Stegostoma tigrinum: one gene and its partners. The protein of the gene in region 2 interacts with the protein of the main gene of each other region in a pairwise test. Links are inferred from orthologs where the notes say so. Each region holds a gene or a part of one and is shown on either strand. Other genes may lie near its edges.

Region 1 (6,751 bases), on a different chromosome or scaffold from region 2:
GCATAGAAGTGCTCTTATCAGACATTAATCCAATTGCAAATGTCTTGCATCAGCACCAGCACAAATACACAGCTCCCAATTAAAAGCACAGAATGGATAACAAGTTTCTTTATTTTCTTTCTCAGAATTAATTTTAATAATGTCATTTCTGGATACTCAGGGCATTCACTCCTTGAATCCTGAAGGGGAAGTTGGATTCTAACCAATTAAGCTAGATTCTTCAGATGAAAATGAATAGTGCAAGCAGATACAGTAGGCTGTCCACTGTAATGCACTGCTTGGTAAGTTTAAAAGGGCCTGAATATTGAGAGCTTCAAATTCGATACAGGTTTAGACAGCCTGTACAGAGTCTGTCTGTCATTCTGCCAACACAATGCCAAACAAACTTTTAGGCTAGTACCAAATTATCCCAATTTCATCATCATTTTACACTTCTATTCTTATCTGATCCTACTTAGGAAATTTAAAACAAGTGAAGCCTTGCTGAAACCAAAGGAAAGACAACATTCAGCACAAATTGAATTTTTATTATTCATTTCCTTTACAGCACCGAGGAATGCATGAGGACCACAGCAGAAATGACTAAACAGGGGATGAGAAGCCCCAGATCCTTCACTTTGTAGTGCTTCACCTCTGTCAGTAGTTCAGTTCACAGTATAGATCAGTGATTTCTTTTCTCAAAAAAAGCAAGGAGAAAAAAAGCACCCTAGAGATTCTTGCAGCCATGGACAGAGTTGACTCTCGGCAGGTATGGCCACAATCTAGTTGCTCTCTGCCTTCTTCTCCTGATCAATAGCTGGAAAAGAAATAAATTAAACTCAGATTAAATTAATTGAGGGAACAGCTGGAGGAAGTAACAATCCCAACACATTCCTTACTTTCTTTTGTAGGGAGAGTGTTCTTCACTTCTGTGTCTGTCTTCTTCAACTTGCTCTTATCAAAGGAGGCAACCTCCCTGAAGTCAGGCTTTTCTTCCATTTCAGTAAATCTGAGGGGAAAAAAGTTAGCCTTAACACCAGCCTGTACATTTATAGCACTGGCAGAGTATGGAATACAGAGTTTAAAGAATCTCTTGTTCCAAAATTCTCCATGTCACAGGCGCAATAAATGAAGTAAACAACAAGGAGAGAATTATTTTCATATCATTCCCATTTGCCCCAAACCATCAAATTTCACACCCCACACATCCCACTGCCCACACCCCCCTCACTTTTTTTTACTCAGCACCCCCACCCCACGCCACGCCACTGCCCACACCCCCACCCCACACCACACCATCCCATTTTTACTCAGCACCCCCACGCCACACCATCCCACTGCCCACACCCCCTCCCCACGCCATCCCACTTTCTTACTCAGCACCCCCCGTTCCTATCTCCAAGCGTCCCCCACCCACCTTCCGGGACACATTATGGTGGGATTTCCCAGACAAAGACGGCGGGACGAGGGGCCCATCCCTCACCCGCGGAGTGAGAACCGAGCGATACGGTTGGGGAGGCAAGCCCGGTGAGGGGTGGTAGAAGGTAGACGCGAGGTGGGGGTGCCGCTCCCTCATTACCCCCCCCCCCCCCAGTTGAGGGGGTGAGGTGTGTGGGGGTCTGTCTGGGTGGGGGAGTAAGAGTCTGTGCTGCGCCCTCTGTACCCCCGGGGTGGGCGGTGGGGATCTGTGTGGGATGGGGTATCGTATCGCTCCCTGGTTACCCCCCGGGGCGGTGCCGCTCCCTCCGTACCGTCTGTCTGTCTGTCTGTGTCTCTCCCTCCGAGCCCCCACTGACCGCTCTCCGCCGCTCGATCCACGAACAATAGCCACCGCCGCCGCTTCAGCCCTTTTATAGAGTCCGGGACCCGCCCCTTCCAGGGCCTGCCCCGCCCACCTCGTCCCGCCCCTTCTTGCTCTTATATGGTTCAAGGGGCGGGGGCGGGAGATCGTGTCGATTTAATCAATGAAGCCGAGAAGAGACAAAGGGAGAAGGATGGGGATGGGGACGGGGTTGGGGATGGATGAGATGCGATAGGGATGGATAGATGGATACATAGATAGGGGTAGAGAGAAAGGGGGGGGGGTGGAGAGAGAGAGAGGGAAGGGCATGTAGACAATTGATCAGGTGCCCTCCCAAGCTGTAACCTTGGATTGTGGCACAGCTAGGTGCAAGCAGGCAGAACTACAAAAGCTCCAGGGAAAAATGGACTCGGAATTTGCCTTCCACTAACTGTTGAACAGCTCAGAGTGCCTTGTCAACATTGCATTTACTTGGAAATGTTTCCTTTGTCCTTGCTTGGACTTGATTTTCATTTGATTGCCCCATTGTGGCACCTATGATTCTTATGGGGATCCTCATGGCACCTTCGATATAACCGCCTACCAAAGGCCCTGGTCAACTCTGTTAATTCATTCAGCAAAGCCAGAGGTGAATCACTCCTGTAGAGCATCAGGTTCAGCTCTGCAAAGCAAATTACCACAGACTCTAGGGTACATCAAAGGCCCTTTATGACCAGTTGTAACTGTTGGGCAAATTTTCCACCTTTAGTTTTGACTGTGCAAAGCTTTGATACCCAATACAGAAGTGGCACATTCAGCCCTATTCAGCCAGTTTCATTAAGCAATTATCTCCTGACTGATCTACAGTAGCTGTATCTGAACTCCACTTACTAAGAGTAGTTCCACATCCCTTCATACCCTTACCTAATAGAAACCTAATGGCAGAGCAATGGAAACTCAGAGAAACCGAGGGATCCCTGAAGGTGGTATGACAGGTTAATATGGAAGTTTTAATGCATATGGGACACTTGCAAATCTTATCAAATATGGCATGGAGCTGTACAAAACTTTGTTTTGAACACAGCTGGAGTGCGGTGTGCAGTTCTGGTCACCACACTATAGGTTGGATGCGATTGTATTGGAGGAAGTGCAGAGGAGATTCACCAGGGTATTGCATGGATTAGAGCATTTTAACCATGAAGAAAGTCTGGATAGGCTCTTTTTTTAGAGCAGAGAATTATGTGAGAGGACCTAATAGAGAGAGATAAGATCATGAGGAGCATGGATAGGGTGGATAGAAAGCAGCTGTTCTTCTTGGTTGAAGGTCATTAACAAGGGGACATAATTTTACGGTGAAGCACAAGAGGTTTAAGAAGGATTTGAGGAAAAAGACTTTCACCCAGAGACTAGTGGGAATCTGCACAAGTGAGGTTAGTTGATGAGACACCTCACAGGTGAGATTAGTATCGATTTAGAGTAGGTTTGTCAGTGCAGATTTGATGGGACTGAAGGGCCTATGCTGTGTGATTCTAACAGTCTTAGTAATGAAATATCCAAATTATCTACCCTCAGCAGCTTTATTTGTGAGAAAGTTCTAGATTTCTAATAACCTTTGTGCGTAAAAGTTGCTCCTTCACATTCATCTTACATCATCACCTTAAAATTCAAAATCCCAAATAATTCTCGCTTCAGAAGGTTCCATATTTGGAGCACTGTATCTGTATGATCTTGTTGAGCTCCATTGTAGCTCTCCTCCCTATTGACCATTTCCCCAATTTGGTGTCATATTCAAATTTTGAAATTGTGTTTTCAATTCTAAGTTCCAAAGCACATAGAGATTGTGAACCACAGAGTTCCCAAAACTGCTCATTGCCCACTTTCTGCTACTTAGAACAGCTATCCCCCAATCCTACCTGCTGCTTACTGTCTTGAAGCCCGCTATCTATCCATTCTGCTACTTATCACTTAAGTTTGCATGCTCTATATTATGCAGCATCTTCTGAAAGTCTACCTAAGTTCCATCCAGTTAAGCATTAATATCTCCCCATTTTTACTTGTGTTATCTGCTCTTGTTTATTCCTCACTACCAGATCCAATAGTGAATCTCCCCTTATTGGCCTTTATTCATATTGGGTTAGAAAGGATTCTGCACATTCACCATTTCAGCATTGTTGAACTCCTCAATTATAATTTTTTTTGCTAATTACCGTAATTGTTAGTATAGCTTTTCCATCACCTCCTTTTTACTATTAGGTAGCCTATAGACTACCTTATTGATAGTGATGAATACATTATTATAACTTATTATAACTTGTAACTTATTATACCTTATCTCTATCCACAAAAATGCTATTTCTGTTTTACTGATGGCTGCGCCAATTTTTTTTTCTGCTGCCAATGTACTCTCTCTAATAAATACAGCTGCTCCACTGATCACTTTTTACAGTCTCTAATTTCTAAATGGCTCATTTGCTAATTGATTCAACTTCATTCATAGACTGAACTCAATTTGTTCATTATCTAAATATCTTATACCCTGCTGCATGTAATTACCAGTCCTGATTTTTCTGTAGCCATGTAGAATTGACAACGGGGTATAAGGCATCCTCAGTTTGAACGTAAGACTTCCACTCTAGGAGGATTATACAGAGGTCTTTCCAACATTGCCACATCAGCAATGCGATTGACTCTAAATTCCCTTCAGAAATGGTCCTAGCAAGCCACTCAGTTGTATCAAACCACTATCAAGCCTAAAAGGAATTAAATCGGACAGATTATCCAGCATCAACCAAGCCACAGGAAACTATAATGGCAAACTCAGCCCTGTCAATTCTGTCAACAACAAACCAATCAAGCAACAGCCAGAGATAGCCATTCTCGTGAAATTCCAAATTATGTAGTAGACTGGATTTAAGGCGAATGGCAAGGGATGTAACAAGTAGGAAATACTTAATTCACATTATTTTGAGCAACCTACCCGTCACAGGTACATCTGACCACGTGTGTATTGGCAGTGGTGATCATAACGTTGCCTTTGCAAGGGAATGTCTATAATCTCCATGATGAGACAGCCCAGCATCTCAGTGCAAAAGACAACATTGAAGCATTTACATCCACCTTGGATGATCTATTTCATCCTTCCCCTGAGGTTTGCAGCATCGTGCATGCCAGTCTTCAGCCAATTTGATTCACTCCAAATGATATCAAGAGATGGCTGAAGGCATTAGATACTACAAAGGCTATTGCCCCGACAATATTCCAGCAACGATACCAAAGACTTGAGCTCCAGACCTTGCTAAGTCCGAAGCCAAGTATTCCAGTATAGCTACAATACTGTCATTGGCCCAGTAAGCTGGATAAGTACCTAAGTATGTTGTAACAAAAAGCAGAACAAATCCAACCTGTCCAATGATCAGATATCAAGAGCGATTAAGAGATAGTTGTCAATTAGCTGATATTAGATTTGGGGTCTGCTAAGGACACTCAGCTCATGACCTCATTACATCCTTGGCTTAAACATAGACAAAACAGCTGATTCCAAAAGTGGGGCAAATACATTACGGACAAAAGAGTAACCTGGGGGGGTGGGGCGAATAGGGCATCTTTGAGATCAGCAAGGCTGCCTATGTGTGGAGCCTCAGAAGATGGGGGAGATTCTAAATGAGCATTTTGCAATCAGTGTTTACTGTGGAGACAGATATGGAAGTGAGAGAACTTGGGGAAATAAATAGTGACATTTTGAAAAATGTCCGTATTACAGAGGAGGAGATGCTGGACATCTTAAAATGCATAAAGGTGGACCTGATCAGGTGTACCCAAGAGCTCTGTGGGAAGCTAGGTAAGTGATTGCTGGGCCCCTTCCTCAGATATTTGTATCATTGATAGCTAGTGGTGAAGTGCCAGAAGACTGGACGTTAGCTAACGTGGTGCTACTGTTTAAGAAAGATGGGAAGGAAAATCCAGGGAACTACGGATCGGTGAGCCTGATATCAGCAGTGAGCAAGTTGTTAGAAGGGATCCTGAAGGACAGGATTGACATTTATTTGAAAAGGCAAGGATTGATTAGGGATAGTCAACATGGCTTTGTGCATGAGAAATTGTGTCTCACTAACTTGATTGAGTTTTTTGAAGGAGCAACGAAGAGGATTGATGAAGGCAGAGTGGCGGACATGATCTATATGGACTTCAGTAAGGCAATCAGCAAGGTTTCATGTGGTAGGCTGGTTAACAAGATAAGATTACATGGAATACAGGGAGAAATAGCCATTTGGATACAATACTGGCTCAAAGGTAGGAGACAGAGGGTGAGGGTGGAGAGTTGCTTTTCAGACTGGGGGCCTGTGACCAGCCGTGTGCCAGAGGATTGGTGCTGGGTCCACTGCCTTTCTCCATTAAACAAATGATTTGGAAGTGAACATAGGAGGTATGGTTAGCAAGTTTGCAGAAGACACCAAAATTGGATGTGTCGTCGGCAGCGAAGAAAGTCACCTATGAGTACAACTGGACATTGATCAGGTGGGGCCGATGAGCCAAGAAGTGGCAGATGGAGTTTAAGTTAGATACAAGTGAGGTGCTACATCTTAGTAAGACATATCAGGTCAGGATTTGTACATTTAATGGTAAGGCCCTGGGAAGAGTTGCTGAACAAAGAGACCTTGAAGTGCAGGTTCATAGTTCCCTGAAAGTGGAGTTTCAGGTAGATAGTATAGTGAAGAAGGCGTTTGGTACGCTTGCCTTTATTAGTCAGTGCATTGAGTATAGGAGTTGGGACGTCATGTGGCTGTACAGGACATTGGTTAGGCCACTTTTGGAATATTGCGTTTAATTCATGTTTCCCTGCTATATGAAAGATGTTGTGAAACTTGAAAGAGTTCAGAAAAGTACACAAGAATTTTGCTAGGACTGAAGGGTTTGAGCTACAGGGAGAGGCTAAATAGGCTGTTTTCCTGGAGCATTGGAGGCTGAGGAGTAACCTTATCAAAGTTTATAAAA
Region 2 (7,095 bases):
ACTGCAGATGCTGGAGAATCCAAGATAATAACATGTGAGGCTGGATGAACACAGCAGGCCCAGCAACATCTCAGGAGCACAAAAGCTGACGTTTCGGGCCTGGATCCTTCGTCAGAGAGGGGGATGGGGTGAGGGTTCTGGAATAAATAGGGAGAGAGGGGGAGGCAGACCGAAGATGGAGAGAAAAGAAGATAGGTGGAGAGGAGAGTATAGGTGGGGAGGTAGGGAGGGGATAGGTCAGTCCAGGGAAGACGGACTGGTCAAGGAGGTGGGATGAGGTTAGTAGGTAGGAGATGGAGGTGCGGCTTGGGGTGGGAGGAAGGGATGGGTGAGAGGAAGAACAGGTTAGGGAGGCAGAGACAGGTTGGACTTCTCTTTCGATTCCTCCCACTTCCTACAGACAAAGGGGGTGGCCATGGGCACTTCCAATTCCCTGGCCCCCAACACCTCATTTTCACCATGGACGTCCAGTCCCTATACACCTGTATTCCACATGCAGATGGCCTCAAGGCCCTCCGCTTCATCCTGTCCCGCAGGCCCGACCAGTCCCCCTCCACCGACACCCTCATCTGTCTAGCCGAACTCGTCCTCACCCTCAACAACTTCTCTTTCGATTCCTCCCACTTCCTACAGACAAAGGGGGTGGCCATGGGCACCCGCATGGGCCCCAGCTATGCCTGCCTCTTTGTAGGTTACGTGGAACAGTCGCTCTTCCGCACCTACACAGGTCCCAAACCCCACCTCTTCCTCCGTTACATTGATGACTGTATCGGCACCGGCTCTTGCTCCCCAGAGGAGCTTGAACAGTTCATCCACTTCACCAACACCTTCCACCCCAACCTTCAGTTTACCTGGGCCATCTCCAGCACATCCCTCACCTTCCTGGACCTCTCAGTCTCCATCTCAGGCAACCAGCTTGTAACTCATGTCCATTTCAAGCCCACCAAATCCCACAGCTACCTAGAATACACCTCCTCCCACCCACCCTCCTGCAAAAATTCCATCCCCTATTCCCAATTCCTCCGCCTCCACCGCATCTGCTCCCAGGATGAGGCATTCCACTCCCGCACATCCCAGATGTCCAAGTACTTCAAAGACCGCAACTTTCCCCCCACAGTGGCCGAGAATGCCCTTGACCACGTCTCCCGCATTTCCCACAACACATCCCTCACACCCCGCCCCCGCCACAGCCGCCCAAAGAGGATCCCCCTCGTTCTCACACACCACCCCACCAACCTCCGGATACAACACATCATCCTCCGACACTTCCGCCATCTACAATCCGACCCTACCATCCAAGACATTTTTCCATCCCCACCCTTGTCTGCTTTCTGGAGAGACCACTCTCTCCGTGACTCCCTTGTTCGCTCCACAGTGCCCTCCAACCCCACCACACCCGGCACCTTTCCCTGCAGCCGCAGGAAATGCTACACTTGCCCCCACATCTCCTCCCTCACCCCTATCCTAGGCCCCAAGATGACTTTCCGTATTAAGCAGAGGTTCACCTGCACATCTGCCAATGTGGTATACTGTATCCATTGTACCCGGTGTGGCTTCGTCTACATTGGGGAAACCAAGCGGAGGCTTGGGGACCGCTTTGCAGAATACCTCGCTCAGTTTGCAATAAACAACGGCACCTCCCAGTCGCAAACCATTTCAACCCCCCCTCCCATTCTTTAGAAGACATGTCTATCATGGGCCTCCTGCAGTGCCACAATGATGCAACCCGAAGGTTGCAGGAACAGCAACTCATATTCCGCTTGGGAACCCTGCAGCCCAAAGGTATCAATGTGGACTTCACCAGCTTCAAAATCTCCCCTTCCCCCACCGCATCCCAAAACCAGCCCAGTTCGTCCCCTCCCCCCACTGCACCACACAACCAGCCCAGCTCATCCCCTCCACCCACTGCATCCCAAAACCAGCCCAGCCTGTCTCTGCCTCCCAAACCTGTTCTTCCTCTCACCCATCCCTTCCTCCCACCCCAAGCCGCACCTCCATCTCCTACCTACTAACCTCATCCCACCTCCTTGACTTGTCTGTCTTCCCTGGACTGACCTTTCCCCTCCCTACCTTCCCACCTATACTCTCCTGTCCACCTATCTTCTTTTCTCTCTATCTTCAATCCACCTCCCCCTCTCTCCCTATTTATTCCAGTTCCCTCTCCCCATCCCCCTCTCTGATGAAGCGTCTAGGCCCGAAACGTCAGCTTTTGTGCTCCTGGGATGCTGCTTGGCCTGCTGTGTTCATCCAGCTTCACACTTTATTATCTCAAGTTTAATTGGCTGGGATTTGGCAATTAGCACAACTCAAAAATTCTAGAGTAAAAAAACCTGTACGAATTTAACATGAATTCCACTGGGTGTATTGTGTAACAAAGTTAAGTGGAAATGTGTTGATTTTCACGTTCATACTTTTGCACTGATTTAATGTTTTCTATGGCAAACAGTGGTGGCGTGTTGTACTAGTAGTTTGTTTTTTTTTTAAAAAGGCATGATTTGCAAATGAAAGAAAAGCAATCCCTGGACACCCATACGTGATGACTTGACAGCAATGAATTTGTAATGTACTGACAGGCTCGTTCACATTTTTCACAACACTGGGGCATCCAAAGCCCTTTGTAACTTCCGGGGTAGTTTTTAACTGTAATTAATGTTGAAACTCCGTAGGTTATTCGTTCATTATTATTGCATCAGAAGTTGCTTGCTAACTTCCCCTTGCGTCAGTATCTGAACACGTACACTTCCAGCAATTCCCCAACGATCAGGATTGGAGTTCCCCCTTCCCCGCTCAGTTGCTATTCATGTGAAATGAATTGGACACAGTCCAAGTCTCCGCTTTGAAAGTTTAAACAGACTTGTTTTGGTCTGTCTCTTAGCATTAAAAAAAATGATTTCTCTTGTTTTGTCCCTGTGTGAGGATTAAGTTAGTGAATTGTAGCATTTTTCATTGCCTTGTGTCAGTGAATGAACAAATTGCATATGCATCACTCCAGAGATCAGGTACTAAAACATCACCAGCACGTGTCACTCAAGTTTGGAGGAAAGTGTATATGATTTCGCAAGCCCTCTTGAGATATCTTCATATTGTGTGAGTGAGTGCTGGAAAGGGTCATTGTGCAGAGTACGTACAATTAGGGGGCCTTTCCTGCATTATCTTGGCCTGGCCCTGGACTGTGAAGTGGCAATGCACTCGCGACTTTCTGTGACCCATCTGCATTCCAGCCCGAGAGAGTAGAAAGGATGATCCCTCAAAGAAAGCAATTTCTTCTCGAGCTGTTGGGGAGTTGACATGCAACTGTGCAGGTCGTCACAAAAAATTATATAGTTAAGCCTGAGAAGGTGGTGCTGTGACAGTAGTACTGTCAATGAGCTAGCAATCCAGAACCACAACACTAACGTTTGGCTTCATGTGGTGCATGCTATGACATGTACAGGCTGCAATGGGATCATGTTCTTTAATCCGTTCTCAAGTTGACTTGTACTCCAGTCTGAACGTGATTGTAGGACAATATGAAATAGCTTTCTTTTAAGTACAGGAAATATTTGTATGTCAGATGTTTAAAATTACACCTTAGTATGGGATCATGTTCATAAGTTGGATGTTTGCAAATTGGGGGGGCCCCAGGATATCAACAGGTTAATTACAAATCTGGTTGAGGAGGTGGTGGTACAGTGGTAATGTCACTGGGCCAATCATCCACAACCTCCTGGTGATCTAAGAGCAGAAGTTCAAATCACACCAGGGTGAATGCTGTTAAAGGGGAGGGACGGCAGTTGTGCCACAACGGTCCCGTGGACCCAGGTCCAAATCCCAGAGGTATGTTTGTTTGTCAACCCACGGGAACAGGATGATCTGAAAGAACATCTACACTAGAGGGCGCATGAGCTTCAGAAGGTTTGAAGTCAGTGGGCGGGGACAGGTGCGTGGATAGGGGCGGAGCAATTTGGGGAAGGGGCGGAGATAGCTGGGAAGGGGCGGGGTCAAGGGCTGGGGCGCGGTCGACTGGAAGGTGGGACTGACGGGTGGGGCGTGGCGGACGGGGAAATCTCGCGATATTCGTCTGCTTTGCTTAATGTTATTACCGGCGGTGCCGCGCGGCTTCTCTTCAGTTCGTCCTCAGTGCAGGACAACGAGAGCGAGCGACCCGGTTACAGTCAAGGTGGCCCTCGGCGTAGGACAACAGCGGGAGAGACCGAGCTATTTACAGTCCAGTTCGTCCTCAGTGTAGGACAACAGCGGACGGGACTGAGACTATTACAATCTAGCCTGGCTCAGTCGCACACCGCACCGATAGCCGAGGCATAAGAAGTTGCTGGAAAAGCTCGAGCAAGTCTGGCAGCATCTGTGAAGAAAAGAAATCCGAATTAACGTTTCGGGTCCGCCGACCCTTCCTCAAAACCGCTATCCGTAGCATTAATAACTGGTAAGGCACAGACATCTGTCGGTGTTTTCTTCCAAATGGGATTTGTTGGCTTCCTGCCTATCCGCGGCGACTAGGCCCTGTTATCCCGGTTACTCCGGCTGTGCTGCTGCCTGCTCCACAACAGGGACAAGGAGAGGGAGAGGTTCCCTTTTGCCTGGGGGATGGGATGGGAGGGGAGGAGAGGCGATAACCTTTAAACCAGCTTTAGCCAAGCAGTAGATTTATGGGCTCGGACTTCACGGGGTCTCCGAGGTGGGCTCCTGTGTCGTGCTTCATGTTCTCTTGTTTATGAAGCTGAAATGTTCCTCAGTTTTTTTCCAAACAAATGATCAGCTTGTTGATTCTCTTCCGCTTTCCGTCCTTTCACGTATACGGGAACTGTGGCTCTGTCAGGAATCATGGGCCCAACTGTTTAAAAATTGAGAAATGTTGGGGTTTTTTTCCGGGTTTTTTTGCCCTACATGGAATAGATCAAATTCTTTCAGAGGCGGATAAAGGTCATGTAAAATGTTAGGACCGCTCAGCTGATTAGGTTGCATTTGTAACGGTGGAATACAGGTGAAGAGTCATACGCCTGAAATGTGGACTTGGCTCCATTCTCCACAGGTGCTACTGATTTGAGTCTTTTCCAATGCTTTTCTGATTCCTCTGTAGTTGATGTGCTACTTATTGTAAAACTCACCTACTTTGTGTTTTAAATGAAGTGTCCTTTTAGGAAAAAAGGATATATATTTGCCAAACTTGTACCTGTTTATGTTGAGTACTCTAATGTCAAAATGTGCTAATCTTTAAAGTGCATAACTACCTGCCATACTTGTATTCTTTAGATGAATTTACAGGAGTCTGATATTCTATTTTGTATTCTGTTCACAATGCAGGGATTAAATAAACTCTACCTGAAAGTGTATACCTGCAACTATGAACTAGTTTATGGAGAAATACATTAATTTCTTGCTTAGATGTGTGATATCTATGTGTGAGAGCATAGATAGGTTATATGATTTTTAAAAGAATTTGAGGGTGAACAACACAATAATGCAAGCTTTGTCTTGTAAAGAAAATGCTTTGACTGCAAAGCAGATATTTTCAATGAACACTAATTTCAATCCCTAACATTAATTTCTGTCAGTGGCTTTGCACATTTTTTAGCTCAATTTTACAGCTCTTTTGTGGATAATTCACAATTTCAGTTGTGAACTGATGTTAGCACTTCCAAGCTATTTTCAGTTTTGAAAACATAGAAATTTTAATATGCCCAATGTCTCATTCTAGTTCATTGGTTAAAATAAGTGATATTACTGTGTCAAAATGCAGCTACTGTGAATGTTGCTCTTTAATAACACCGTTTACTTCCCTCTGACCTATTGTCACAGTTTTGAGAGCTATGAATAATAGACTTGCTCATCATGTTGCATCATAACATCATCAATCTGCAGTAAGATACAGTAGACTGGTCCTTTGTGACTCTGGCAGTTCCACAAGCTAATTGAAGGAGGAAATATATTGCAGAAAGTTATAATTATCCCTACACTTGTAATTTTGCATTTGACTGTACTATGTTTTTGAAATGGTGCGAGAAAGATACTGTAGGTGGGGTCTGAGCTTTGTGCTGTTTATGTGCACATCCAACTTGGATGCCATTAGACAATCTAAATAGATACAGTATACTGTTTCCTCCTTCACATTTGCCAGAAGTCTGGCAACAGAAAGTTTCAACATCCTGTTATGAGCCTATATTTCTAATATTTGGATTTTATTTTTGAATCGACTCAGATTTCTTTTTAAATGTTGAAGGCTCCCATTAGATAAACATTCTAAAGATTTGAATTCAACAATAGTCCAGTAAATCAAGATGTTAGAGCTTAACTGTTGTGACTAACTTAGAACAACGTGCAATTGATACAAATTCTGAAAAAAAAATTCTCAATGTAGCCTAAACAATGGTAGGATATTACCTTATTGGAGGTCTTTCAGGTCTCAAGTTCCTGGGAGTAGCTTATTTACTGTAGTATTCTCTACAAAAGTTGACTTTGTTTTCACCCCTGTTATCACTTTCAACCTGAGGGATCATTTGAGACGGAGCTTGTCTGACTGAGCTATAACTGAATCTTGCTTTAGAGATTACCGCTGACAGAAACATTAAACAGTTAGTAATCAGGCTTGGGGAGTGGGGGAGGGGGGTGGTAAATATCTAGAAAATGTGAGATTGTGGAAATTCTAAGTGGAGAAGTTTTAAAAAGTGGTGTTTTTGTTTGATCTGTCATTGGAATCTCTTGTTTTTAGAATCCCTAGGATCCAAGGAATTTCAAGAGTTTGAGTTAAAAATTGAATGGGCTTGAGATTTTCGCAACTGCCAGTTTTAAGAAAAAAACTCTGGAATATTTCCTAGTAAAATAGAATTTGAGCTCATTTACTGTAAATCAGTGGCCTTGGAAATTAAAAGACTGTTTAGTGCAGCTGGCGACTGGTACGGCTCCATGAAATCCTCATTTAAACAGGAGTTTAGCTCATTCAATTATCTGACGCCAGAGTGTCCGTAATTTATAAGAAATATTGAGAGATTGATCTGACATTGGTAAAACTAGGAGTTGTCACTTTATTTTCTTGTCACAAAGGTTCCAGTTACACTCAGGTTATTTTTACAGCAGGGTGAGAGGATAAAAGCTTGAAAT
Region 3 (7,949 bases), on a different chromosome or scaffold from region 2:
ACAAACATGTTAATTCTCCAGACATTTAGTTTGCTTTACCCAAAAGTCAGAAGTAAAGACCTATTAATCCACTAAATCACGATTTTGTTTCTAATTAAAAATCAGATTTGATGAAAATACTGAGGACCCAAGTATAACATACCAACTTATTGGGTTCATTTTTTGATGTATTCTGTTCAATATCATAAGGGCAGTGTAGAATTTCCTTTAGAAGAACATATCTCAAACCAAATCTTGGCCGTGACATGGAATGGTATACTGTTGACTTTTACTTTAGCATAGAAAATGTGAAACATTCTGTGCAATTTTAAAGTGACTCAAAATTTGACATTTTATTGTATCCTGAAACAAATGGTGAAAAATCCAAAGAAGCATTAAACCAACTTCCTGAATGGCGCTCATGTGGATGGCGAAAATGCACACAATTCCTAGATAAACTCTAGGTTGCCTGCAAAAATTATACTTTGAAAAGGAGCAAATGTTTCCATACTGGTAAGTAATTAAAAATCAGACAACTCATACTGTCATGAGTTCAGGAACTATAACCAGTTTCACCCTTGTTGAGCAACAACAGGGCCTGGAATTCTGTTACGGTTTCCCCTCCAGATTATAATTTATGATCTCAGTTCAACACAGATCTGTAGAATTCTAGCAATGGAAGTACTAGTCTAAGATTCTTAGCAGCCAATTCACCTGCCAATACTTACTGGTTGAATTAAAGAAAACTAAAACGGATTACACAGTTCTGTATAATCAGTTGAAAATGTTGTTTAGAGCTTTGCAAGAATTAGCTTTAGGTAACAAAGCAGCAAACTGGTCCAAAATTCTTAATGTGGGAAAGAAAAATCAAACCTTAAAATATTCACGTTTTTCACTTTGCTTACAGTTCTCAAAAACATTTACATACCATAAATGATTTTCTGGCACAGGGCTCCATTGTAGTCTACGTCACAACTAAAAGCAAAAGCAGTGTACTAACAGATCCTCCTAGTCCTCACCCAATAGCTACCATCAAGAAGTGCAAACCCAACATATAGGCACTGTTTTAGAGTTCTTATTGTGCTCAGGTTTTGTAAGAGTCCTAACAAATTAGTACTAAGTAAAAGGTTCACACCCAAATACAAAACTGTTTGACTGCAGAAATGTACTAAATAGTAACAGGAATCTGTCACTGAAAAAATTCACAACTGTTACTAATATATTTTTAGGAATACAATTAAAAAAGCAGGACTGCTCTTTTTATGAGCTTCACAGACTGCAGGACTGAACAGTTTTGCGTAAAATCAGTTTTACAATACACTAACAGCTCTTTCTACTCCTAAGATCAGCAAAATTTAATTCTCTCAAGACCTGTCATAACATACAGTTCACAGTCTGTGGGATTGACAACAACTTCTTCAGGAGGCAGCGACTGGCACCGCAACTTGTGGTTGAAAGAACGCAGAGCTAACTAACTAATACACTCAGTAATTTGTTAAATAGACAACTGATTCACCAACACCATAATTTACACACTAATCATGGTAGGTAATTAATTCAATAGCTGAGTATTTCACTAACCACATAACTAATCCACTCACTAGAATAACTAATTCACTAAGATCAGAATCAATAATCAAAAATTGGTTTGAAAACAGAGCCAACTTCTCTCTGGTCCATTGCACCCGATCGTTTGGGGTCACCAGCAGCTGCTATAGTTATTGCTGTCCTTCCTGCAATTGACACACGATTCCAAATCAATGTCAAAGCTGCTTCCCAAGAAGGGTACTCATGTTGTCTAACAGCTGGAAACTATCACACACTAAATTTTTAGCAAGCAACAATTTCAGCTGTAGTCCTGCAAATATCTGATATTCTGAACACACTTAATTATCTGATATCAGTATTATAATTGGGATACATCCTATGACGAGAAAGTGTACTCTGTATCAAGCAATCGCAAGGCCTAGTTTTGAAATTTTCTGAAAAGTTACTTTGGAAGCTGTTTGGATGGTCTTAAAATGTGAATCATCTGGCTCACTAAAGCATCCTCCTTTTGTTGAATAACTTCAAAATGCCTCAAAAGCATTTGATGTATTTGGCTTTTAGCAGTAACTATTATGCAGTGAAACAGAGGGGCTGCTTGCATTTCCCAGTCAGTGATACGAGCTAGCATATGGAGAGTGCATTGTTCTTCCAATAAAGATAAAGAGCCCTTAAAATGAAACAGAGCCACCGGAAACAGCACACAGCAATTCGATTCAACATCTCCTCCGACAATCGGTGATTTATAATATAAACTACAACGCATTCAATCTGGTGGACGAAAAGTCTTTTGCACATTTAAGAAACTCGGCTACAACACCTCTGCAAAAGAAAATCGCGTGCGTTTGTTTAAAAAGCAGCTTTGATCAATTAAAGTCAAGCAAACAACTTAACAAAAATTGCAAAAAAAAGTCAAGAAAAGTTTGCGGCAACAGCTTCTTCGCCGAATTTGTTCAGATAGGGGCGCGATCACTCTGATCTGTACTTTTTTTTGTTGCTAAAGAGTGATACAAGTGTCAGTTTCCCCAAGCCACGACGGCTGACCGTACTGAATAAACAAACATAATTCCCTCCATTTTCTGTTTACAATTGACAATGAAAGTGACTTGTTAGGTGATATGATCAGTGAAATTGACAGGTGTCCGCCAGTAGCTCCACTGATCCCGCACATGCTGCTCAAACTCAACTCAACTGCACTCCACTCCACTCACCCCAGGCTGCACCTTCCCCGACCACCCCACAATGTTTACCTTCCACCCTCCACATCCATCCATGCAGCACTCCCGCGGACAGCACTCACCCCCAGATCACATAATTCGTCTTCACATTCTTCGGCCAGGAGAACTCTCCGAAGATGACCTCGTCCCCTTTCACCACAATCTCCTTCTTCTGGATGTTGTATTGACGCAGTACGCTCAGCACGTCCGCCATCTTGCCTCGGCTCCTAACAACCGGGTCCTGAGAGCCTGGGCTGCCCCGCTGCACTGCCTGTCGAGAAGGGAAGAGGGACAGGACCCTCATGCTGCCCGGGCAGACTGCCTGAGCCGGCGGATGGGCAGGCACGGATGTTAGCACTGTGGTCGAGTGGAACTGCCGTCTAATGATCTAAATCAGGAGACTGCAAGGGGTGGGGAAACGAAAACACACGCGTAGGGAAACTTTCATTTTGATGGGGGACTGGTGATCAAGTGGTTGCTGAGTTTGCAGGATCTCCATTGACAACGGCATCTACAGGAGGCGGGGACTGGCGCAGCAACTTGTGGCTGAAAGAACCCAGAACTAACTAACTAATTCAGTAATTTGTTAAATAGACAACCAATTCACTAACGTGATAATTTATGCACTAACCACGGTAGGTATTTAATTCATTCGCTAACTAATCCACTCTCTAGAATAACTAATTCACTTTGTTTGCCTTCGTGGCCCACACAGCTTGCTGTCAGCCTCGATTAAAGTGACAGTATTATTTAAGGTGATGGATAAAGATTCCTTCAATCTTCTGATGGTCAATCTTCTGGTAGAAGACACTAGTTTGGACAGTGTAAGTTTGACCAATAACATTTCGAATTATGAGTCGCAAAGAAGTTTTATACACATTGACGAATGAGAAAGACTGCACATCCTTTTGGGATGCATGATTGTGAAGTGTGATTTTATTAAATACAAAAAAAGTTAATTGACATCAAACCACTGTCAGCATAATCAAATCTATCACGATGCTAATATCTAGTGGTTTATAATGCATATGAGTCAGACATATATGCTGGCCGTATTTAAGACATTTCATGAAAGTGATTTTGATTTAGTTCACTGATCAGCAGTTATGCCTTATTAACTGTAGATTAAAATTTGTGATAAATACCTTCCACACCACTGCTCCAGTGAATCCAGATTTTAGCTTTCATTCTACATTAACTCATCCATGCAGGCAACGTTACCAACCTCTGAAACAAAGAGTCATTTATCACCCTCTTCCAATCAGTCTCATTGCTCTCTCACTTATTCTGAACTCCACAGATCCCTTGTACCACTCGGAATTGACTTTAAAACTCTCACCATTACTTAAAGTTTCTCCATGATCTCACCTAACTCAAAACTAGTGACTTCCAGATGTACTATTACACATCTTCACTAACGATGGCCTTTTTATTTGTCCCTTTTTTCTGCTACACCACCATAATGTGTTCCTTTAACATGAGACTGCTTCTGTTATCTAGCTTCCTGCACATAAGCACCCTGAAAAAAATTCTATTAAGCTATTTCCTTAGTTCCTCCCTCAATCTCTTCACCTTCTCTTTTCTCTTTGCTGTTTATTTTTCTGTTTAATGTAAAGCTTGGAGATTTCTTTTCTGGTATGAATGAATGCTGTGGAAATGTAAACTTGTGAAATGAATAGTTGCATAACAAGGTCAGGCAGAGCTAGAATATTTGCAGTGTGATCAATATTTGTGGGTTTTGATCAAGTCAGTCTGTTTATAATGTTATTATACATCTGTGGAGTTCTCAGCCTGCTTCAAGTTGCGAGTCATCAGAAGTTTTTGAGACCATCACTGGATCATGATTGAACATTGAAGTATTGTCAGTTGAGTTGAGCGGTGGTGTTGGTGCATTATTACGCTGCCTTCAGCTGAATGCCAATTTAGTGCCCAGCCAACCAAAGTTATGTCTGCTGCAAGCACCTGAGCCCCAGGCCAGGTGACTGGTGAAGATATGCCAGTCAATCAGAATTTCATTGTGCAGCAGATCCTCTTGGATTCTTAAGGAACAAAAAGGAGGGCAAGGCTTGCAGGAAATAAAGAAGGATATTACAGATGGGGATTACATGCTCTGGCCTGAATATTCTGCTGTGAAAAGGCAACATCACCATCTCCAAGGTTAAGGAGGTGTTGAGCAGTCACTTCATCGCAGATGTTGTATACAGAAATGCTCCCCTGAGATGAATTAACATTTAGTCCCGGTAATAAAGAGTGAGCTTCTGGCCATCTATAGCATTTCCCATTGCTCCTGGCAATGTCCAGGCCGGTTATTCTGCTCGGTGACTTCAACTGCATTATTGATGTGGCTGGACAATCCTGAAGAGCTGACAGATTCCTGATGGAAATAGTTAAAGAAGCCAAGCTGTATCAGAAAGTCCTTCATTGTCAAAGTGTCCAGAAGGTGAGAGAGAGAGATGGGGAAAACTGTCCAATCTACAGAAAAGGTTGCAAAACCACTGCTGCTACAGACAATGGATGTCAATGTCAAGGGGGAACTCAAAGAGATAAAGAGCCAGTAAGCCTTGTTTTTTGCCTTGAAAGCCTCCATGATTAAATGCTATTCCAGGGTCCGCACAGTGAAACAGGATGGGACATGCTCACGTTCGTTCTTCCAAAAGGTGCACAAGGAGAAATCCATGACCAACAGCCTGAAGAAGGAAGATGGCTCGATAACGTCACCTCAGTCAGATATCCAGAGGCCTCCCAGTCATTCTTGTCTTCCAGTACAATTTCTTAGAAGACTGCACACATGAAAAGTTAGAGCAGCCATTATCTCTGGATGAGCTGACCAAAGCCCTCCAGTATTTTGAGAAGAGTAATGCTCCTGGAAGTGACAACCTTCCAGTTGATTGGAATTCGGCTCTGTGGGACTTGATTGGCCAGGATTTGCTGGAGGTGTATAGCAGTATGTGTTTGAGAGGTAACATATGCAAACGCATGAGGAGTATCATCACCCTCATCTACAAGTAGCAGGGGGAGAGGGAGGAAATTAGAAACTGGTACCAATTTCACTGTTGACTGTGGATTACAAAATCCTACCTGAGATCATCACCAAATAGGTTGCGTCTTCTCTGTGATTGGTGATTCACTCCAACAAAATCTGTGCTGTCTCAGGCAGGAAGATCTCAGACAGCCTCGTGCTCCTCTGTGTGCAGGCCATGGAGTGGACACCTGGTTCCTCAGTCTGGACCAGGAGAAGGCCTTTGACAGGTTTTTCCACACTTACGTGAGAGATATACTGTCCAAGATGGGCTTTGGGGAGGGAATCTGCAATTAGATCTGATTGCTGTACACCAACATCAGTTGTGCAGTCTCAATCAATGGAACAACTGGGAGGCTGTGCTGTGTGTAGGCTTTGTGTCATACAATCTGGCATAAAAGGATTTTCTGATCCTCAGATGGGAATCAGAAAACTCCCTGATCAAATATGGGGTCAGGCAAGGCTATCAGTCTGTCCTGCCTTGCTTACGTGTTACATAGAGTCTTCAGTAAGGATGTAAGCTTGAGAGGGGTAATTATTCACAAGAGCAGAGGCTGCAGGTCCACGCCTCCTCATACATGAATGATGGCACCATTTTCTGCTGTAATCTGCTGTCAGTGCACAGATTCCTGAGCATCTGGGATCAGTTCAAACTGGCCTCAGGAGCCAAGGTACATCACGGCAAGAATAAAGCTGTGTTTTTTGGGAAGTGGGTCAGTTGAGCCTTTTTCACCTTCATCGTCAGGTCAGATTACCTGATGGTGCTGGGACTGTGGTTCAGAAGGACTGAGGCATGCACCCAAACTTGAGAGGAGTGTATTTCCAAAGTGAGGCAGAAATTGAACTGATCGGAGCACCACTTCCTCTAAATTGCTGGTAAAATCTTGGTCATCAGGTGTGAGGTACCCTCCGTGTTGCCATATACGGCACAGGTCTTCCCCGAGACTATGTCATTGAAGTCAGATGTGCCATCTTCCACTTCATCTGGAGATCAAAGAAGGTCTGTGTTTGTGTGGACAGCATGTAGAATGTTGCCCTCAATCTCATGGCTACCTTCACGTGTGGCTACATCAAGCTATGTGTAGATCCTCAGTATGCAAACACCAAGTGTCACTTCATACTAAGCTTCTACCTGTCCCCAGTGTTGCAAAGGATTGGTCTGGCCTCTTTGCTGTGGGACACTTCAAGTAGCTGGACTATTCTGTCTCACCTGTCCCTTGTGGAACAATTTGCGAAGGAAAACACCTTTGACCACAAGTCCATCATGTAATGTCCTCATGAAAAGGAGAGGGTTGATCCTCTCAGGTGGTTCACCAGTACTTTACAACAAGCACTAAAATGTAGCCAACTACTCTCCACTACCACAAGCTGCCCTCAAAGCGACTGCAGCAGGGAGAAGACTGTCACACATCTCCTTCTGGAATGTGCCTTTGCAGAGAAATGTAGGTTTTTGTTAAGGTTCGCCCCAAGCAGCTCCATGACACAGGACTCTGTGTTCTACAGCCTGTTCGCCAGCACATACAGCAAGACAAACATTGGCTGTGCCTTGAGGACCATCAACAGGGTGAAAGGAAACTTATTAGTCTTCCACTGGAAAGAGTTCACCTTGACCATGTGTTGCAGACTGGCACATTTCAAAGTCCAGGACTGTGTGCTGAAGGAGACAGTAAGGCTCAGGGTAACTGCTGCCAAAGTTCATTGGGGAAAGACCACCGTCCGAGGTCTTCCAGCTAAAGTATAATGACCGTCCATTCAGTTTTCAGATGCTCTTCGTTCCTCAAAATGAGTGCAAATAGTTCCTGCTTGATTGGAAAATACCTTTGTTTTGCACCTGCAAGGAAGTTCTCAGCAATGTCAAATTCCAGTGCGTGGTTATGTTTTCTCGCAGATTTTACAGAATTGTCCTGGGACCTTTCGCATCTACTTACAGATTTTTCTTTCACGATAAAGTGTATTTTTGCAATAAACTATCTGTAATCCGCTGGAGTAGTTGGGATTTGAACTGGGGTTGTCTCGGTTAGAGGTAGACAGACTACCGCTGTGCCAATAGCAGTCTCGGAGTTTAATGGTGTACACAGCATGCAATGCATTGTGACGGAACCTTAGAGTTAATGCATATGATGGCTAGTACTAGTGCTAGCACAGCCTCGGAGAACTGCGGTGAGAGCAAGTTTTAGACTCGTGCCGAT
Region 4 (7,934 bases), on a different chromosome or scaffold from region 2:
GGAGGTGTGGCTTGAGGTGGGAGGAAGGGATAGGTGAAAGGAAGAACAGGTCAGGGAGGTCGGGATAGGCTGGGCTGGTTTTAGGATGCAGTGGGGGGGAGGGGAGATTTTGAGGTGGGTGAAATCAACATTGATACCATTGGACTGCAGGATTCCCAAGTGGAATATGAGTTGCTGTTCTTGCAACCTATGGGTGGCATCATTATGGCACTGCAGGAGGCCCAGGATGGACATGTTGTCTAAGGAATGGGAGGGGGAGCTGAAATGGTTCGCGACTGGGAGGTGCAGTTGTTTATTGCAAACCGAGTGTAGGTGTTCTGCAAAGCAATCCCCAAAACTCCGCCTGGTTTCCCCCATGTAGAGAAAGCCACAACAGGTACAGCAGATGCAGTATACCACATTGGCAGATGTGCAGGTACACATGTGCTTGATGTGAAAAGTCATCTGGGGCCTGGGATGGGGGTGAGGAAGGAGGTGTGGGGGCAAGTGTAGCACTGCCTGCAGTTGCAGCAGAAAGTGCCGGGTGTGGTGGGGTTGGAGGTGACTAGGGGGAATTCTCTTTTGGCAGTTATTGTGGGGGGTGGGGTGTGAGGGATGAGTTGTGGGAGACATGGTCAAGGGCGTTCTCGACCACCGGCAGGGGGGGGGGGGGGGGGGGGGTGGGGAGAGAGACTTGCGGTCCTTGAAGAACGAGGACATCATTACTCCCAGTTCAGCATGAGAACAGAAGAATAGATTGACTGATTGATTCAAAATGCGGGCATCAGGGCCAGTTCTGCGCAAAGGACACCTCAATAAGATGGTGGACCTGCATCAAAATGGAGCCAAGACTAATATCCTTACAAGGAAAATTGCTATCGCAGTTGGGCAGGGTTTAGACTGGACTGGCAGATGAAAAGGAACCACTGTGGGAAATCACATTGGAGGAAACAAAACTGCAATGGAAATAAAGGGGTAATACACAAAATTACAAAGTAAAAGTTGTGAAAGCAAACATCAAATAGCAGACTGCAAAATAATGTTAAAAAGGCAGAATTAAAGGTACCCTATCAATGTACACATGATTAAAAATAAAGTTGCTGTTTTAAAGACACGAATTCAAGTTAACAGGTATAATTTATTTATTATTACAAAGATGTAACTAAAGGGTAACCAAAATTGGGAATTGCAATTATTCAACATTTCAGAGGCATAAGTGAAAAGACAGATGAGGTGGGATAGTGCTCTTAATGAAGAATGTGATCAGTATAATAGTTAGGAAGGAACCTACATTGAAGGATCAAGGTGTAGGAGAGGTGAGGAGCAGAAATGGACAGCAAATATTGACAAGTTTTTTTTAAAAAAACAGGCCACCAAACAGTACAAGTAGTAACGTTGGGCACAGTAGAAATCAGGACATTAGAAATGTATTTAATGAGAGCGATACAATAATATTGGTTGAATTCAATTATGCATAGACTGGGTAAACCTAATCTGCAATAATAATGAAGAGCATGCAATCTTCCAGCAGTATGATGAAGAAACAACTAGGAGTTGGGATATTTTAAGATTTAGTATTGTGATGAGAGTAACACTGCAGTAGTTCAAGAAGCTAGTTCACCACCACCTGTTCAAGGACAATGATGAGCAATAAAATGATAGGCATTAAGGGTCACTGTCTCAGTCATGTCTTTTTCTACACCTCATGAAGGCAAAAAACATGGTCTGACAAATTCTGGGAAGATGACATTTTCAATCTTGAAAACAAATTACTTTGTTCAGTTTTAATTACTATTGACTTCTCTCAAGCTTGTGATTTGGTCTGGCAATTCCTCTTTCTCGACAGTCATCTCTCCACATTTTTAACTGCCTAGTTGGACGCTTGTTTTCATTACCGTCTGAGAATGCAAGTACAGTATGATCCAGTGCAAATCAAAACTCAAACCGATTAAAAACTGGAAACAGTGATGTCACACAATAGAAGCAACTCTTACTGCCCACTGAATTTTGAAAACGTAAATGATTTGATCACGGTTACCACATTTTACACCACCCCCGACAAACTCCACTTTAACCTATTTGATTGCACGATTATTTCAGAATACAGAAAGAGAAGCTGCAAGAAATGCCCTGGCAAATAAACGGGACTCAACGCAACAAAGTGTCACAGTCACTTCTGAGTAACCAACTGTAAGTACTGTTTACATAACAAGAACACCGCCCTCTTGGAAGGGAAAGGCTGCACGCCTATGAATAACAGAAGTTGTCATTGCTTCATCCTTACGGTCCGAGAGCAGAAATCAAAGTGCAAAAACCGTAAAAGAAACAATACGCCAATCAGTCTCCTGGAGGAGTTGAGTTCTTGGCGGGGGCAGTCTCCATTTATAAAACACACGGTTCCGTTTACACAACGGGAACAGTCAGTCACAGGGAGTGAACCTTAAAGAGACCTCTAAGTACACCAAGTGTCCCCACTCACTCAGTTCCAGTTGCTCCAGCAGGGTCAATGCCTCTGAGAAGCGGCACTGGGCCAGCAGCTCCTCCAGTTTGATTTTATCCCGGGCCAGGCTGACCTCCGCCGGGAACCACTTAGTAATCAAGTGGCTCAGAATGACGTTCGGTCGCAGAAACTGAGCGCTGGCCACCTCCTCGCCACAAGCCGGGCAGCGAGGTCTCCTCCACAGGCAGCGCCGGCACCAGGTGTGCCCACAGCGCAGGGTGACAGGTTCGGCCAGCAACTCCCCACAACAGCCGCCACACTCCAGGAGGCCTTCCCCAGCCGGGACACCAGCTCCGTTTGGGCCGCCAGCTCTTCTTTTGAAGCGGTGCAGGAGACAGTGCACCAGGTCACGCAACTGGTCAGGCCGCAATGACCTTTGTTCCCCAGCCGTGGGCCCAGGCTTCTTCCCGGGATGGACAACGCCGGTGGGTCCGGGAACAAGAGCTCCGCACGGAACCACTGACATCGCTCGAGTGACGGGCGCATGCGTTCTCCGCCCCTCTTGCGGCTGGCACGTGCTCGAGAGCGCAGCTGTCATTGGAGGAGACCGAGAGAGGGGAGAAGGCTGTACAAACAGTACAAAATAACTGCGGCAAAAGTTTCATAACATGGGAGAGGGCGGGGCACGCAGACAGATTACAGTCTGACTGGGTGTAGAACAGCCAGAGTACAGACTGAGTGTGGGTGAGGTCGGCCAGGCAGACAGATTACAGTCTGACTGGGTGTAGAACAGACAGAGTACAGACTGAGTGTGGGTGAGGTCGGCCAGGCAGACAGATTACAGTCTGACTGGGTGTGGCACACATAGAATACAGAGTGTGGGTGAGGTCGGCCAGGCAGACAGATTACAGTCTGACTGGGTGTAGAACAGCCAGAGTACAGACTGAGTGTGGGTGAGGTCGGCCAGGCAGACAGATTACAGTCTGACTGGGTGTAGAACAGACAGAGTACAGACTGAGTGTGGGTGAGGTCGGCCAGGCAGACAGATTACAGTCTGACTGGGTGTGGCACACATAGAATACAGAGTGTGGGTGAGGTCGGCCAGGCAGACAGATTACAGTCTGACTGGGTGTAGAACAGACAGAGTACAGACTGAGTGTGGGTGAGGTCGGCCAGGCAGACAGATTACAGTCTGACTGGGTGTGGCACACATAGAATACAGACTGAGTGTGGGTGAGGTCGGCCAGGCAGACAGATTACAGTCTGACTGGGTGTGGCACACATAGAATACAGACTGAGGGGAGAACAATGTGACGTGTGGGACAGGCAGGTGGACAGAATATAGTGTGACCATGTGGGGCAGTTAGGCAAAGTACCACCTGACTGAGTGTGGGACAGACAAACAAACAGACAAAGGCTGAGCGTGGGACATACACGCAGAGTAGAGACTGACTGAATATGAGACAGACAGAGATAATGGGAACTGCAGATGCTGGAGAAACTGAGATAATAAAGTGCGAAGCGGGATGAACACAGCAGGCCAAGCAGCATCTTTGGAGCACAAAAGCTGACGTTTCGGGCCTAGACCCTTCATCAGAAAAGGGGGATGGGGAGAAGATTCTGAAATAAATAGGGAGAGAGGGGGAGGCAGACTGAAGATGTATAGAGGAGAAGATAGGTGGAGGGGAGAGTATAGGTGGGGAGGTAGGGAGGGGATAGGTTAGTCCGGGGAGGACGGACAGGTCAAGGGGGCGGGATGAGGTTGGTAGGTAGGAAATGGAGGTGTGGCTTCAGGTGGGAGGAGGGGATAGGTGAGAGGAAGAACAAGTTTGGGAGGTGGGGATGAGCTGGGCTGGTTTTGGGATGCAGTGGGGGGAGGGGAGATTTTGAAGCTTGTGAAATCCAACACAAGTCCTCCTCCTGGACACCACCCTCAGGCCTCCTACCCTCCCTTGACCTCTTCATCTCCAACTGCCCTCTAGATATCAATTGCCACAACCTCTCCACCCCTCTCACCCACTCCAACCTCTGTCCTGCAGAACGTGCTGCCCTCCACTCCAACCCCAACCTCACCATCAAACCCGCAGACAAGGGAAGCGCAGTTGCAGTTTGGCGCACTGACCTCGACATCGCCGAGGCCAGACACCAACTCTCCGACACCTCCTCCTACCGCACCCGGATAATGATCCCACCCCCGAGCACCAAACCATCATCTCCCAAACCACTCACACCTCATCACCTAAGGAGACGTCCCACCCACAGCCTCCAACATCATTGTTCCCCAGCCCCGCACTGCCCCCTTCCATCTCCTTCCCAAAATCCACAAACCCACCTACGCTGGCCGACCCATTATCTACGCCTGCCCCTGCCCCCTGAACTCATCTCCAACTCTCTGGCTTCCATTTTCTCCCCCTTGGTCCAGGAACTCCCTACCTACGTCCATGACACCACCCACGCCCTCCACCTCCTCCAGAATTTCCAATTCCCTGGTCCCCAACACCTCATTTTCACCATGGATATCCAGTCCCGATACACCTGCAGTCACCATGCAGATGGCCTAAAGGCCCTCCACTTCTTCCTGTCCCGCAGACCCGACCAGTCCCCCTTCACCGACACCCTTATCCGCCTGGCCGAACTTGGCCTCACCCTCAACAACTTCTCTTTCGATTCCTCCCACTTCCTACAGACAAAGGGGGTGGGCATGGGTACCCACACGGGCCCCAGCTATGCCTGCCTCTTTGTAGGTTACATGGAATAGCCCCTCTTCTGCACCTACACTGGCCCTAAAACCCACCTCTTCCTCCGTTACATTGATGACTGTATCTGCGTCGCCTCATGCTCCCAAGAGGAGCTCGAACAGTTCATCCACTTCACCAACACCTTCCACCCCAACCTTAAGTTCAACTGGACCATCTCCAACACATGCCTCACCTTCCTTGACCTCTCTGTCTCTATCTCAGGCAACCAGCTAGAAACTGATGTCCATTTCAAGCCCACCGACTCCCACAGCCACCTAGAATACACCTCCTCTCATCCACCTTCCTGCAAAAATTCCATCCCCTATTCCCAATTCCTTTGCCTCCGCCACATCTGCTCTGAGGATGAGACATTCTACTCCTATACACCCCAGATGTCCTCGTTCTTCAAGGACCGCAAGATCCCCCCACTGTTGTCGAGAACGCCCTCGACACAGTCTCCTGCATTTCCCGCAACTCATCCCTCACACGCCATTCCCGCAATAACCGCCAAAAAAGAATCCCCCTAGTTCTCACATACCACCCCACCAACCTCCGCATACAACGTGTCATCCTCCGACACTTCCGCCATCTACAATCCCACCCCACCACTAAAGACATTTTTCCATCCCCACTCTTGTCAGCCTTCTGGAGAGACCACTCGCTCCGGGACTCCATTGTCCGCTCCACACTTGCCACCAACCCCAGCACACCCGGCACTTTACCCTGCAGCCGTAGGAAGTGCTACACTTGCCCCCACACCTCCTCCCTCACCCCCATCCCAGGCCCCAGGATGACTTTCCACATCAAGCAGATGTTCACCTGCACATCCGCCAATGTGGTATACTACATCCGCTGTACCCGTTGTGGCTTCCTTTACACTGGGGAAACCAAGCAGAGGCTTGGGGACTGCTTTGCAGAACACCTATGCTCAGTTCACAATAAACAACTGCACCTCCTAGTCGCGAACCATTTTAACTCCCCCTCCCATTCCTTAGACGACATGTCCATCCTGGTGCCACCTGCAGTGCCATAATGATGCCACCCGAAGATTGCAGGAACAGCAACTCGTATTCCGCTTGGGAACCCTGCAGCCCAATGGTATCAATATCGATTTCACAAGATTCAAAATCTCCCCTCCCCCCAGTGCTTCCCAAAACCCACCCAGCTCATCCCCGCCTCTCTAACATGTTCTTCCTCTCACCTATCCCCACCTCCGACCTCAAGCCACACCTCCATTTCCTATCTACTAACCTCATCTTGCCCCCTTGACCTGTCCATCCTCCCCGGACTGACCTATCCCCTCCCTACCTCCCCACCTATACTCTGCTCTCCACCTATCTTCTCCTCTATCCATCTTCAGACCGCCTCCCCCTCACTCCCTATTTATTTCAGAATCCTCTCCCCATCCCCCTTTTCTGATGAAAGGTCTAGGGCGAAATGTCAGCTTTTGTGCTCCTAAAATGCTGCTTGGCCTGCTGTGTTCATCCAGCTCCACACTTTGTTATCTTGCAGACTGACTGCGTTTGGGACAGTCAGGGAAAATACAAACTAACTGCCTGGGTTATAGGCTGACTAACAGAATGACTGAATGACAGACTGACAATTTGACAGAGTGACTGATGGTATGTCAGGGTACCTCAGCCACGGGTCTCCAAATCATTCTGTTACTGCAAAGATCATGGGTGCTCACCACATTTCAGAAGTAGTACTTGGAGGGGCAAAATAGTCCATGCCTGCTTACAAAATGGCATACAGAAGCTTTTCAAAACTAAGCAGCCTGTTCACACAATGATATACGATGGTACCTTTGAACAAAGCAGACAGAAGGTCAGTAAAGGAATGCTGTGTGCTCCCATCTGAGGAAGCTCTGATAAAAGGATGCCTAAGGACAGATAAGTGACTAATTTTAACCTTATTTTAAAAGGATGGTTGTTCCAGTAAATGAATAGCATGAGGTCCTAGATTAAGTCCCTCGGCAACTGCAAAAGTAAACAGCTAAAGTTACTTTGTAGTAAATAGTTGCTTCTTTGAAACTATCTGCAATATTAAATAGACTCTAGTTTAAGTATCCTTAATCATAGAAGTAGTTTTCAATATATAAACAACGTATAATGTAAGCATTAGCGGAAAAGCGTTTAAACCTAGATGTGAAAGTTAATTAGGCTCAGGAAACACTTAATCTTATGCCCTAAGCAAGATAGAATGTTCACAACCCATTAATTACAACGTGCTAAGAGTGTAAGTAGCTGCACAACTTTAGTTTTTATAACTAGATTTATAATAGAAATTAACCTTATAGCAATTAGTCAAAAGTAATTATCTTCTGTATTTTCACGCATCTAATTAGGACAGTGGGAAATATTAGAAGAAGCACTGAATTTGATAAAATAAACTGCATGTGGTGCAACGACTAGTAGAATTCACACTGTCCTTAGAGATAAGAAGCCTGAGACAGATCTGAAGGAATGTGGCCAGTAAACCAGAGCAAATCCAACATAGCCAATTGCCACTCCATCAGTTTACTGTCAATTGTCAGTAAACTCATTGAAGATGTCATCAATAGTGCTATCTAGCAGTACCTGCTCAGCAAGACCCTGTTCAGTGACACCCAATTTGGGTTCCGCCAGGGCCACTCAGCTCCAGACCTCATTACAGCCTTAGTTGAAACATGGATGAAAGAGCAGAATTCCAGAGGGTGAAGTTAGGGTGACAGCCCTTGACATCAAGGCTGCATTCAACTAAATGTGATTTCAAGGAGTCTAAGCAAAACTGGAGTC

The links.
Region 1: the proteins of alas1 (region 2) and thymosin beta-10 interact in binary tests that used the Homo sapiens proteins (3 or more experiments, as listed by UniProt). The two-hybrid records come from large-scale screens. The link is inferred for Stegostoma tigrinum from reciprocal best matches to the Homo sapiens genes ALAS1 and TMSB10.
Region 3: the proteins of alas1 (region 2) and cdc73 interact in a two-hybrid assay, tested with the Homo sapiens proteins (3 studies listed by BioGRID and IntAct). The two-hybrid records come from large-scale screens. The link is inferred for Stegostoma tigrinum from reciprocal best matches to the Homo sapiens genes ALAS1 and CDC73.
Region 4: the proteins of alas1 (region 2) and lonrf1l interact in binary tests that used the Homo sapiens proteins (3 or more experiments, as listed by UniProt). The two-hybrid records come from large-scale screens. The link is inferred for Stegostoma tigrinum from reciprocal best matches to the Homo sapiens genes ALAS1 and LONRF1.

What each region holds. Positions count from the first base shown.
Region 1 is NC_081356.1:13,022,622-13,029,372, reverse strand, and holds thymosin beta-10, read right to left. Parts: upstream 1,854-6,751; 5' UTR 1,776-1,853; exon of another isoform or gene 1,731-1,775; intron 990-1,730; exon of another isoform or gene 989-989; 5' UTR 979-988; coding exon 879-978; intron 797-878; coding exon 762-796; 3' UTR 507-761; downstream 1-506. UniProt on the Homo sapiens protein: Plays an important role in the organization of the cytoskeleton. Binds to and sequesters actin monomers (G actin) and therefore inhibits actin polymerization.
Region 2 is NC_081364.1:23,022,677-23,029,771, forward strand, and holds the start of alas1 (5-aminolevulinate synthase, nonspecific, mitochondrial), read left to right. Parts: upstream 1-4,080; 5' UTR 4,081-4,423; intron 4,424-7,095.
Region 3 is NC_081361.1:34,774,174-34,782,122, reverse strand, and holds the start of cdc73 (parafibromin), read right to left. Parts: upstream 3,002-7,949; 5' UTR 2,956-3,001; coding exon 2,825-2,955; intron 1-2,824. Other genes in the region: glrx2 (glutaredoxin 2), read left to right, coding at 3,500-3,565.
Region 4 is NC_081354.1:109,818,002-109,825,935, forward strand, and holds the start of lonrf1l (LON peptidase N-terminal domain and ring finger 1, like), read right to left. Parts: upstream 3,018-7,934; coding exon 2,459-3,017; intron 1-2,458.